2 linked regions of the Neurospora crassa OR74A genome follow. The protein of the gene in region 1 interacts with the protein of each later gene in a pairwise test. Links are inferred from orthologs where the notes say so. Each region holds a gene or a part of one and is shown on either strand. Other genes may lie near its edges.

Region 1 (4,598 bases):
CATAATGGGAATGGAGTCGATGTCGAGGTCGGGGCCGTTTTCGTTCTGCAGAATGTTGTGTATTGGGGTGGAAGTGCCTTGTGAGCGAGAGGGACTGCCTAGGTCGCCGATGTAGAAAGGGTCGTCACGGTTGCGCTCTGCTCGTTCGGCCTTGCGACGGGCGATGATGTCTGCGTCAAGGTAGCTATCCTCTGTCGCTTGCTGGTAGGAGCCCGATGTCGTCTCGGGAGCGTCCCGTAGTCTGTTTATTGCTGGCTCGCTGGAGATGCTGGTTGGTGCTGCCTTTTCGTTGTAGTAAGCTGAGAATTCGTCGTCTTCCTGGATGGGAAGCATCAATGAGTCCGCTTGCGCCAGCAGGCTGCTGAGGTTGGGATGAATAGGCTCGTCCAGGTCTAGGCCCTCTGGCATCGGAACATTCAGCTGAGCGCCAACTGCGACGGAGTTCAGCTCCCAACCCTGGAAGAGAGAGGGTATCGCCTGTGTGAGAAGGAGGGGCGGGTCTTGTTCGAGTTCGTCCGTTGATGACGCCTGTGCCGATGCTGCCTCGGCGGTGAGCTTCAAGAGCTCAGTAAACTCAACCGCGCGTTCCTGGACTTCAAGAGATGGATGAAGCACTAGGGGCTCGTATGTATGGATGACTCGCGCCATGAGCAGAGATACCATGGACTTTCGTTCTGCTGTCCAGTATGTTTGGTCGTTACCAGCAATCAGCGCGAACAGCTTCATGGAGGCCTGCAGGCAGGTTGCGAGAACCTCGGAGGGTCTGATACGCGGTATTAACTGTAACAGGTGATTGAGTGTGTCGCTTGGATTTGAGAGCAGATTTGCGTATTCTCCGGCGATCCAGGCAACAGGCTTCAGTGAACCTGATATCACTTGGTGTGACGTGGTCTCCATCGATAGCTTTGCAATAATAAGCTCGGCAGCCCGGACAGCGGCAGCTCTCACTGCTTTCACCTTAACGGCCACGTTTCTGAGCTCATTACCAATACTCTCCGAAATATCGGCCGTGGTAGATTTCGGCCCCAGTGCCATGCCGTCCGAGTCAAGCTCCTTACGAGACGCCGGAGCAATCCGGATAAGTTGTGTAAGTACGTCGATGTACCAGTCAAAGTCGACCACACTGGAGTAGTTGTTTTGCGAGCACATCTTGAGGATCCTGCCAATAACGTCAATCGTATAGTCTTCGGGGAGAGGAGGCGCCTCATCTCGTTTCCGGGACCGTCGTTCAGCGCCCATCTCTTCACTCGAGTCGGTTGACAGATCATCCAACTGATCATTGTTCGGGTTTGTGGACGTTTTCAGCTGCCTCATAAGCCGGCTGACAATGGATACCAGGTTATCGCTGCTGACCATCCCTTGTACCAGGTCTAGAGCCTTGATCCTGATGGTTATGTCTTCGCTGTCGATGCACTCCATGATCACGTCCTCTTGTTGGGCAACAAGGAACGGGTGCGTGACCACGATTCTGTTGAAGGCTAACAGAGCCACATATTTCACTGAGCGAATAACATGGTGAGAATTGTACAGACAAAGGCAAGCGGTAAAGGTACTCACAGTTGGCATCACCGTTGAAAGTAATCATGCCTCGAAGCTTTGAAACACACAGACTAGCAATCTCTTCCCTGCCATCATCTTCAGAGTCTCCAAGGATTCCTCCTTGTATGATGCCGTTGATACATTCGTATAACAGGGACATTGCTGGCGTTGTTCGGATCAGATCGGTCAGGGGCGGCAGAAGCTTGCGAACGAGACGCGGCTCTAGAGGGGTGAGGGTTGCAAACTGCGCAAGTTAGCAAAGACGCCGTCAAGTGGGAACTCCAGGTTTCCTCCTACCAGTTTGATCAACTTTATCGCCATCCAGTTGTTACCCCCATCTACCAAGAGCTCGAACAGGCGCGGAGCCAGGGGCAAGAAATCCTGGGGTCTCCGCCAGCCGAGTTCACACACCACGTTCACAATGGCTGCTGTCACGCTCGGATCCTCGTGCTTGTCCATAAGTCGCTCCTTAATTTTTGGCCATGCTGCTCGGAGGGTCTCTGGGTATACCAGGGCTAGTCTGTATAGTGTAACAATGGTCTTCTTCCTGATAGCCGAATGCGAGTGACTGAGACGCGGCAGTAGGTCTGCTAGTACAGAAAGGGCAAGGGAGGGCGTGATGATATGCGGCAGCGCAGCAATGGGGAGTGAGATGACGATCGGGGAGGAGGCCGAGAGGTCCTTCTTGAGGAGGTTGGTGGCTAGCATGAGCACTTCGGTATCGGTCTTGAAGCTCTGGACGGCGCCGAGATATCCAACGCGCTTCTGGTGGTATTTTGGCGAGGACATGACCTCGAGGACATGGAAGGAAGCCCACGACATGTCATGGCCGTTCATCTCGAGGTAGATGATCTTGAGGAGGGCCGTGGCCTTGACATCTTTGCGCATGTGTTAGCGAAAGCAACTGAACGGGCGCAACAACACAAGAGGGACGAACCCATGTCTTGGCTTTTGATCTCGGAACGACATTCTTTCAGACAGTTCTGGATGTACTCCTTTTCGTTTCCCTTGTGGTTACGCAGACCTCGGATGAGGTCGTACAGCGACTTTTCGAACCTAGGGGGCATCAGCTAAGTCGACTCGTGCAGACGGAAGCCGGAGCTTGACGCACATGGTTGCGGTTGTGGTGGCCCAACTGCCGATGTTCCCAGTGTTGTGAGGACTATATCGAAGTTGGGGAGGCCTGACGCTGGCGGCGCAAGGGTAGCAATCGGTTCGCGTAGAACTTCCACTTGGGTGACAGGAATCGAAAGTGTTTACAAGTCTAGTATAAGCTGGAGGTATAGCGAGGCGACGGGGACGAGGTGTTGCTGTGTCTGGACTGAACCGCAACTCGACGCATCTTGCCGCGGCCGTAGTTGGGGGAGCTGGGAGATGCTGTGGGCGCCACCCGGGTCGAGGGTTGTAAGTAAATGCGCTTCTCGTCGTCACGCCGTTGGGTTTACTTGTCGTCGTCGTCGTCGTCGGCGTCGTCGTCGAAACACGCTTGACGGATCTTGGTTTGGAAAGGCAATGGCCGTCAACGACGCTGCTGCTGGAGATCCGATGTCCGTGGTGGGTTCACAAATGTGGCACCCTCCCCGTCCTGGTCGTGCTATCTCACGTCACTGGCTGCCCTCTGAACTGACTGACCTCTCTCTGCCTGCCTGTGCTTTGAGGTGAGGATGCAGTGGTACAGTTTGCGACTGTCCCCTAAAACCCCAGATTGCACTGTCTGTCCAGCTGTTTTACCGCTGAAAGAGCAGCTATGACACAGTGAGAGCTCCAAACGAGAAGCTCCACATGCTTGCCCCACCTACCTCTACCCATCCATGGAGTGCCTGGGCGGGCATTCAGCTCCAGCTTGCAGTGCTCGCCGCGCGACGTCTACCAGCGTCCAGCATTGTACAGATTGACGCCAGAGAAGTGGAAGCTTCAGTTTCCCCGGCCATCAACTTCTCCTCTTCCATCATTTGACGACAGCTTCCAGACCACAAGCTAAAGCCGAGACTTCGATTGCCTCCATCATACTTGCGCCAATTGTCAATCAGCGGTTTACAAAGTCACGACATACTGGTGGTTCCTTTCAACCTTGACGAGCGACGTGATTCTTGGTCCGGTGCGAACCCCGACCACTATACGATTATCCAACTAAATCGAATATACACAATGGCGCCCTCCCTGCTCTTCAACCCGGCCAAGCTCCCTCCTTCGGAAGCTCTCCAACTCGCACAGCAAGCTCCCGTTGTCTTGCAAGGATCGTCATCAGAGACGGTGGACCAATGGGCAACATACGAGAATCTGCTGCTAGCGTGCCTCCGAACCGGCGATGATGAAGCGGCCGCAAAATGTATGGATCAGCTGGAGGCACGGTTTGGCCCCGACAATGAGAGAGTCATGGCTTTGAGGGGCTTGTTGTCCGAGGCCCAGGCCGAGAACAACGGAGAGCTGGAAGCGGTGCTCAAGCAGTACGATGCCATTCTGGAAGGAAACAGCACCAATCTCGTGGGTCCTGACCGTTTACGCCAACTGTTCTCGGACGGCAGATTTGCTAACCCGCCATGTCTACGTCTACAGCCTATCACAAAGCGCCGGATCGCCCTCCTACGATCCATGGGTCGCGTCTCGGATGCCGCAACGGCTCTTGTACAACTCCTCGACTTCTCCCCAACCGATGCCGAGGCCTGGTCTGAGCTGTCGGATCTCTACTTCACACAAGGGCTATACTCTCAGGCCATCTACGCCCTGGAAGAGGTCCTCCTTCTGTCGCCCAATGCCTGGAACGTATGCGCTCCTCCCTCACCCAACAGCCCAAGCCCTATGCTAATGTAGCCCATCTAGATACATGCACGACTGGGAGAGGTGCAGTACATGGCTGCCACGACTTCGGGAAGTGGCGGTGGATCGCAGCAAAAGTACTTGGCCGAGGCGCTCAAGCGGTTTGCTCGGAGCATTGAACTGTGCGACGACTATCTCCGTGGCTACTATGGGCTGAAGCTAGTAAGTTTCCGATAGCCGTCATGGGCGAACAAAATAATATGTGCTGACCGTCTGCCAGGTCACCACGAGGCTTCTCAAGG
Region 2 (4,095 bases), on another chromosome or scaffold:
CTTGGAGAAGCTGAAGGCGTGGCCGGCGTGGAGGCGGCCGTTCATGTAGGGGTAGGCAATGGTGCCGAAGAACTTGGGGTGCTTTTGGCGCAGCTCATCGGGGGTAATGGCGTCGAGAGGGAACTCGGCGGTGGAGGGGGCATCGACCTCGAAGACGCCCTCCTGCTCCCATTTTTGCTGGTACCTCTTCTCGATCTCGATGAGGGTGTCTCTCTTTTCGGTGCCCTTGAGCTCCTTGGTCTTGGAGGCGGAGACGGAGAGGTTCTCGACGCCCTTGGCGACGGCTGCTGTGTCGGCCATGTTTGTTTATGCGGTGATGTCTGGTCTTGGTGGTGAAGAAGAAAAGAAAAGACCGAAGTCGGCGACCCGGACTGCGAATTCTCTGTTTCGCAAACTGAAAGTGTTAGAAACTCGGCATTGACTGTTGTACCTACAAGCACAGCACAGCGAGGCGACAAGAACTGAAGCCAGAGCTAGAATACTAGAGGAGAGTGCTGCTGCTGCTTGGGTTGTTTGACGGGATGACTGACCTGTGGAATTGAGTCAGATTCCGGAAATTTTGGGACGACAACGGCGGCAACGGAAGGGAACTCGCTCAGTCAGTCGCCTCCAGCAATCCAGATTCTTTGGTTTGGAGGGGCACGGCAACGGAACTGAACTGAAGCACTGTAACGCCCGGGCATTTCGCGGGGTCAGTGCAGTCCAGTCCCTCTCAGGCACCGCCCGACGGCAAGACGGCGGCATCTACTGACTCCAGTCCCTTGCCGCGACATCGCTTGGCGGACTGTGGCTTATGTACCGGGCTCTATCATTTTAGTCGGTGGCTAAGTAAGAGCTACGTACAGTAGTGTAGACCTAGTCAATCTGCTGAAGTTACTCACCAGCCACAAACTGACCTCTTATCTTATCGGGCAACCTCGAAATGGCCTTGGATCCATGCAGTGATCAACTCCATCATGAGCTCCATATGATCCATCTCACTCTGTCCCCAATGACCAGTCTCCCCTGTCACTAACGGGACTCCCCTCTGAACCCTATTGTTACGACTACTCGCGTACACGTATCGTCATTATCGTCACTTACAACAACGAACTCCTCACTTATTAACAGACAACGACAAACAATGTTCCGAACAGCCATCCGGCAAGCCGCCCAAAAGGCATCAACATCAACAGCCGCCAATTCCAGCGAGCTGCCACAAGCCTTTGTCAAGCTCCCCCACATCAGTCCCGCCCTTCTCACACAGTACCCGGCCAAGAAAACATGGCCGCCCGATTTCAAGACCATGAGCCCGCAGGAACAGCTCAAGTACGAGAAGCGGTACAAGAGGAAGATTCACCACATTGCGCAGAGGCCGAGATGGAACAAGATGGTGCAGTTGGCGCAGTTGGGGACTATTAGTTGTGGGTATTCCACTGGGTGTGATTTGATGACCTGATGTTGATGGTGATCTAGTTGTCCTCATTTACTGCCTCCTATTTGCGGACTGGAAGGACGAGAGGCAGCCTTTCTATGAGGTATGTTTGCCCACTTCACTTCTTGATGACCCATATGTGCCTAACTTCCATGCTCAGTTCCGACAGTGGTTCTGGAACTCCCTTGGCTTCGAATATGAAGCTCCCAAGCCCGTCGCGAGGATCCAGTCCCAGGAGTCGCAGGCTAGCGTCCAAGGCGGGTCCCGTCCTCGGCAGATGTAGTGTTGGACAGACAGGGCTGAGGCTTGGGATTGACAGGACCAAGCCGATTGTATCATGCTTTGTATAGTATCCTTTTGTGGGTGTTTGGCGTTGTAATACCTTGGGGAGGTGTGGGTATCTATGGTTTCTGCTCCTTGTTGGTATCATGCTTATGTGGCATCTTGTCGCCTTCTTTGAATGACGGTTACTCGAAGGCTGTATGAGCTTCGGTCCCGGATGGCAGCTTCCAGTCTCTTCACGCACAAAGCCACCCCCTAGGGACCCCGAACACCGGAGCGCATTAATGTAAAGACCATGCTGGCTCCTAGAACCTCATCGCCCACTCCAGACAAAATTCCCTCCCATTCCCAACCCAGCCCCCAGTCCACTCCCTAGCCCCATGCCGCCTCCCCTACTCTCGTTAACCGGCCTCTTGGCCACCGTCCCCTGCGCTCTCACGCCCTGCACAATCTTCTCCATATTTGTCTCAATCACCACTCCTCCCACAATCATCTCGCCCAGTGTTGCATGCAGTGTCTCAAAGTTGAAGATCAGATCCAACTCGCACACATTCTCAAACAACCTGTCCAGAGATTCGACATATACTTGAATCAGATCGATAAGAGCCAGTGGCGACTCGGTCGAGGTTGAGATGATGATGAAATAGAGGGTAGCATAGTTGCGGTAGGTTACAAGGGAGGGGACGTCGTTGTGTGGTTCGGACGAGGAGGTGGAGGTGCTGGAGGCGGCGAGGAGGGGCGGGAGGGGGAGGAAGTTGCAGGAGCCCTTTGGACGGTTGGCAACGAGGGTGAAGATCTCGGAGATGAGTCGTTGTTGGATTGATGTGTCCTACAAATGGGAAGAGAGGTGTCAGCAGTGGCTGTGATGAGGAAGGGTAGGCGATGGAAGTAGAAGGGGAACATACAAGTTGGGTGTAGAATTTGGTGAGGCGCGGTTGGCCTTGGCCGTTGAAGACGAGGAATGCGTTGATCATGGTGGGCGCGCGGTGTGACAGTTTGGGAACCTGGAAGTGGACGGTGTTGAAAAAAAGACGGCAACGACCAGCGCGCTTCAAAAACAGCGAGAGGGTGACTTGGTTGAAACTGAAGAAAAGAAAATAAATGAGAACCTCGTTGGACACTTTGTTGCACTTGGCGGCGGCAGTCGCACAGAGCCCAGCGCAGTGCCCTGGCTCTTTGGCTGCAGTTGCGGGAGGCAAAAGTGGATATTAATCTGGACTCGGCCGATCAAAGTGTGGTGGGGGTGCGATGACGTGCGCCCGCTAAATGCGCAGAGGCACGCGCCTAGCAGACGGCAGCAAACGGCGGGGAGCAAGCGTTAAGAGGGTACCTGCATCAATGCGAAGATTCTGCCGTACTTGCATGTCCCTTTGCATTGCCATATTAACTGACCCTCAGCTAGAGCTTTCCGCCGCTGCTAAGGCATGACCCCGTGCCTGCCAGCGCTCTGCTTTCAGTTCCGTCTGTTACATAAAGTGGAAGCCGGGGAACTGAACCATAGCGCGCCACCCGGGTTGTAGAAAACCATCTTGGGAAGAATTTTACAGTTATTTTTCATTTTGACCTGAAACTGATCCATGGATCAGTTCGACTAGAAATTCGTAGACTGTAAAAGTTTATCATTTTTGAAAAAGATAATTTTGGAATAAGATAAAAGTTTAATAAAAAAATTAATATATATTAATATTTATTTTCTTATAACAAGATTAGCTTCTCGAATACTTTATTTTAATATTAAAGTATATTTTAAAATGTAAAATGATTTTCCATTAATTAGGACTATTTTAATAGAATAAATTGATTTTGAACTTAAATTTACTTATTCAAAAAATATAATTATAATTTATATTATAAGTAAGAAGGTTAATACTAGATTTCTTTTTCCAAATAAATTTAAGTATATATAAGAGTATATCCAAAAATGTTGACTACAACAAGGAATCGAACACGGATCTAATAATGAAGAACTACTTCATTAACTACTTAGCCACTAAGCCAAATAGTTATTTCTGAAGAAAAAGTTTATTTTTTTCCAGTTATAAAGAGAGAGTTTAATATTAAGTATAGATAATAAGATATAACTTTAAGCCTTTATAAATAACTATATATACTAGGAAACTATAATTGTAAAATTTTAAAGGTTATTATAGAATATTAGTGTAAAATTACTATAAGAAAATATATTTGGAGAATTTTATATTAATATAAGAAGTACAAGTGTAAAATCTTACTCGAAGAAAGTATTTATTAAATTAACAATTTATTAAATAGGGAAATTAGTAAAATATAAAATAAAATAAGACCTATATTTATTATATTAATATAACTTTTGTCACAGGGTTAGCCTGTGTGCCTTGTGCCTGGTGCCAGCGTACAGTAGCTTCTAAGACTGCCGTACG

What was found.
Region 2: the proteins of NCU04652 (region 1) and NCU09461 interact in binary tests that used the Saccharomyces cerevisiae proteins (3 or more experiments, as listed by UniProt). The link is inferred for Neurospora crassa OR74A from reciprocal best matches to the Saccharomyces cerevisiae genes APL5 and APS3.

Annotation. Positions count from the first base shown.
Region 1 is NC_026505.1:1,328,450-1,333,047, forward strand, and holds the start of NCU04652 (AP-3 complex subunit delta), read right to left. Parts: upstream 3,092-4,598; 5' UTR 2,653-3,091; coding exon 2,651-2,652; intron 2,596-2,650; coding exon 2,477-2,595; intron 2,418-2,476; coding exon 1,837-2,417; intron 1,784-1,836; coding exon 1,558-1,783; intron 1,500-1,557; coding exon 1-1,499. Other genes in the region: NCU04651 (tetratricopeptide repeat domain-containing protein), read left to right, coding at 3,688-4,023, 4,096-4,302, 4,360-4,518, 4,577-4,598. UniProt on the Saccharomyces cerevisiae protein: Part of the AP-3 complex, an adaptor-related complex which is not clathrin-associated. The complex is associated with the Golgi region as well as more peripheral structures.
Region 2 is NC_026502.1:4,358,677-4,362,771, reverse strand, and holds NCU09461 (AP-3 complex subunit sigma), read right to left. Parts: upstream 2,888-4,095; 5' UTR 2,671-2,887; coding exon 2,602-2,670; intron 2,526-2,601; coding exon 2,010-2,525; 3' UTR 1,698-2,009; coding exon of another isoform or gene 1,575-1,697; 3' UTR 1,518-1,574; coding exon of another isoform or gene 1,456-1,517; 3' UTR 1,404-1,455; coding exon of another isoform or gene 1,124-1,403; 3' UTR 802-1,123; downstream 1-801. Other genes in the region: leu-6 (leucyl-tRNA synthetase), read right to left, coding at 1-300; NCU09462 (hypothetical protein), read left to right, coding at 1,124-1,403, 1,456-1,517, 1,575-1,697. UniProt on the Saccharomyces cerevisiae protein: Part of the AP-3 complex, an adaptor-related complex which is not clathrin-associated. The complex is associated with the Golgi region as well as more peripheral structures.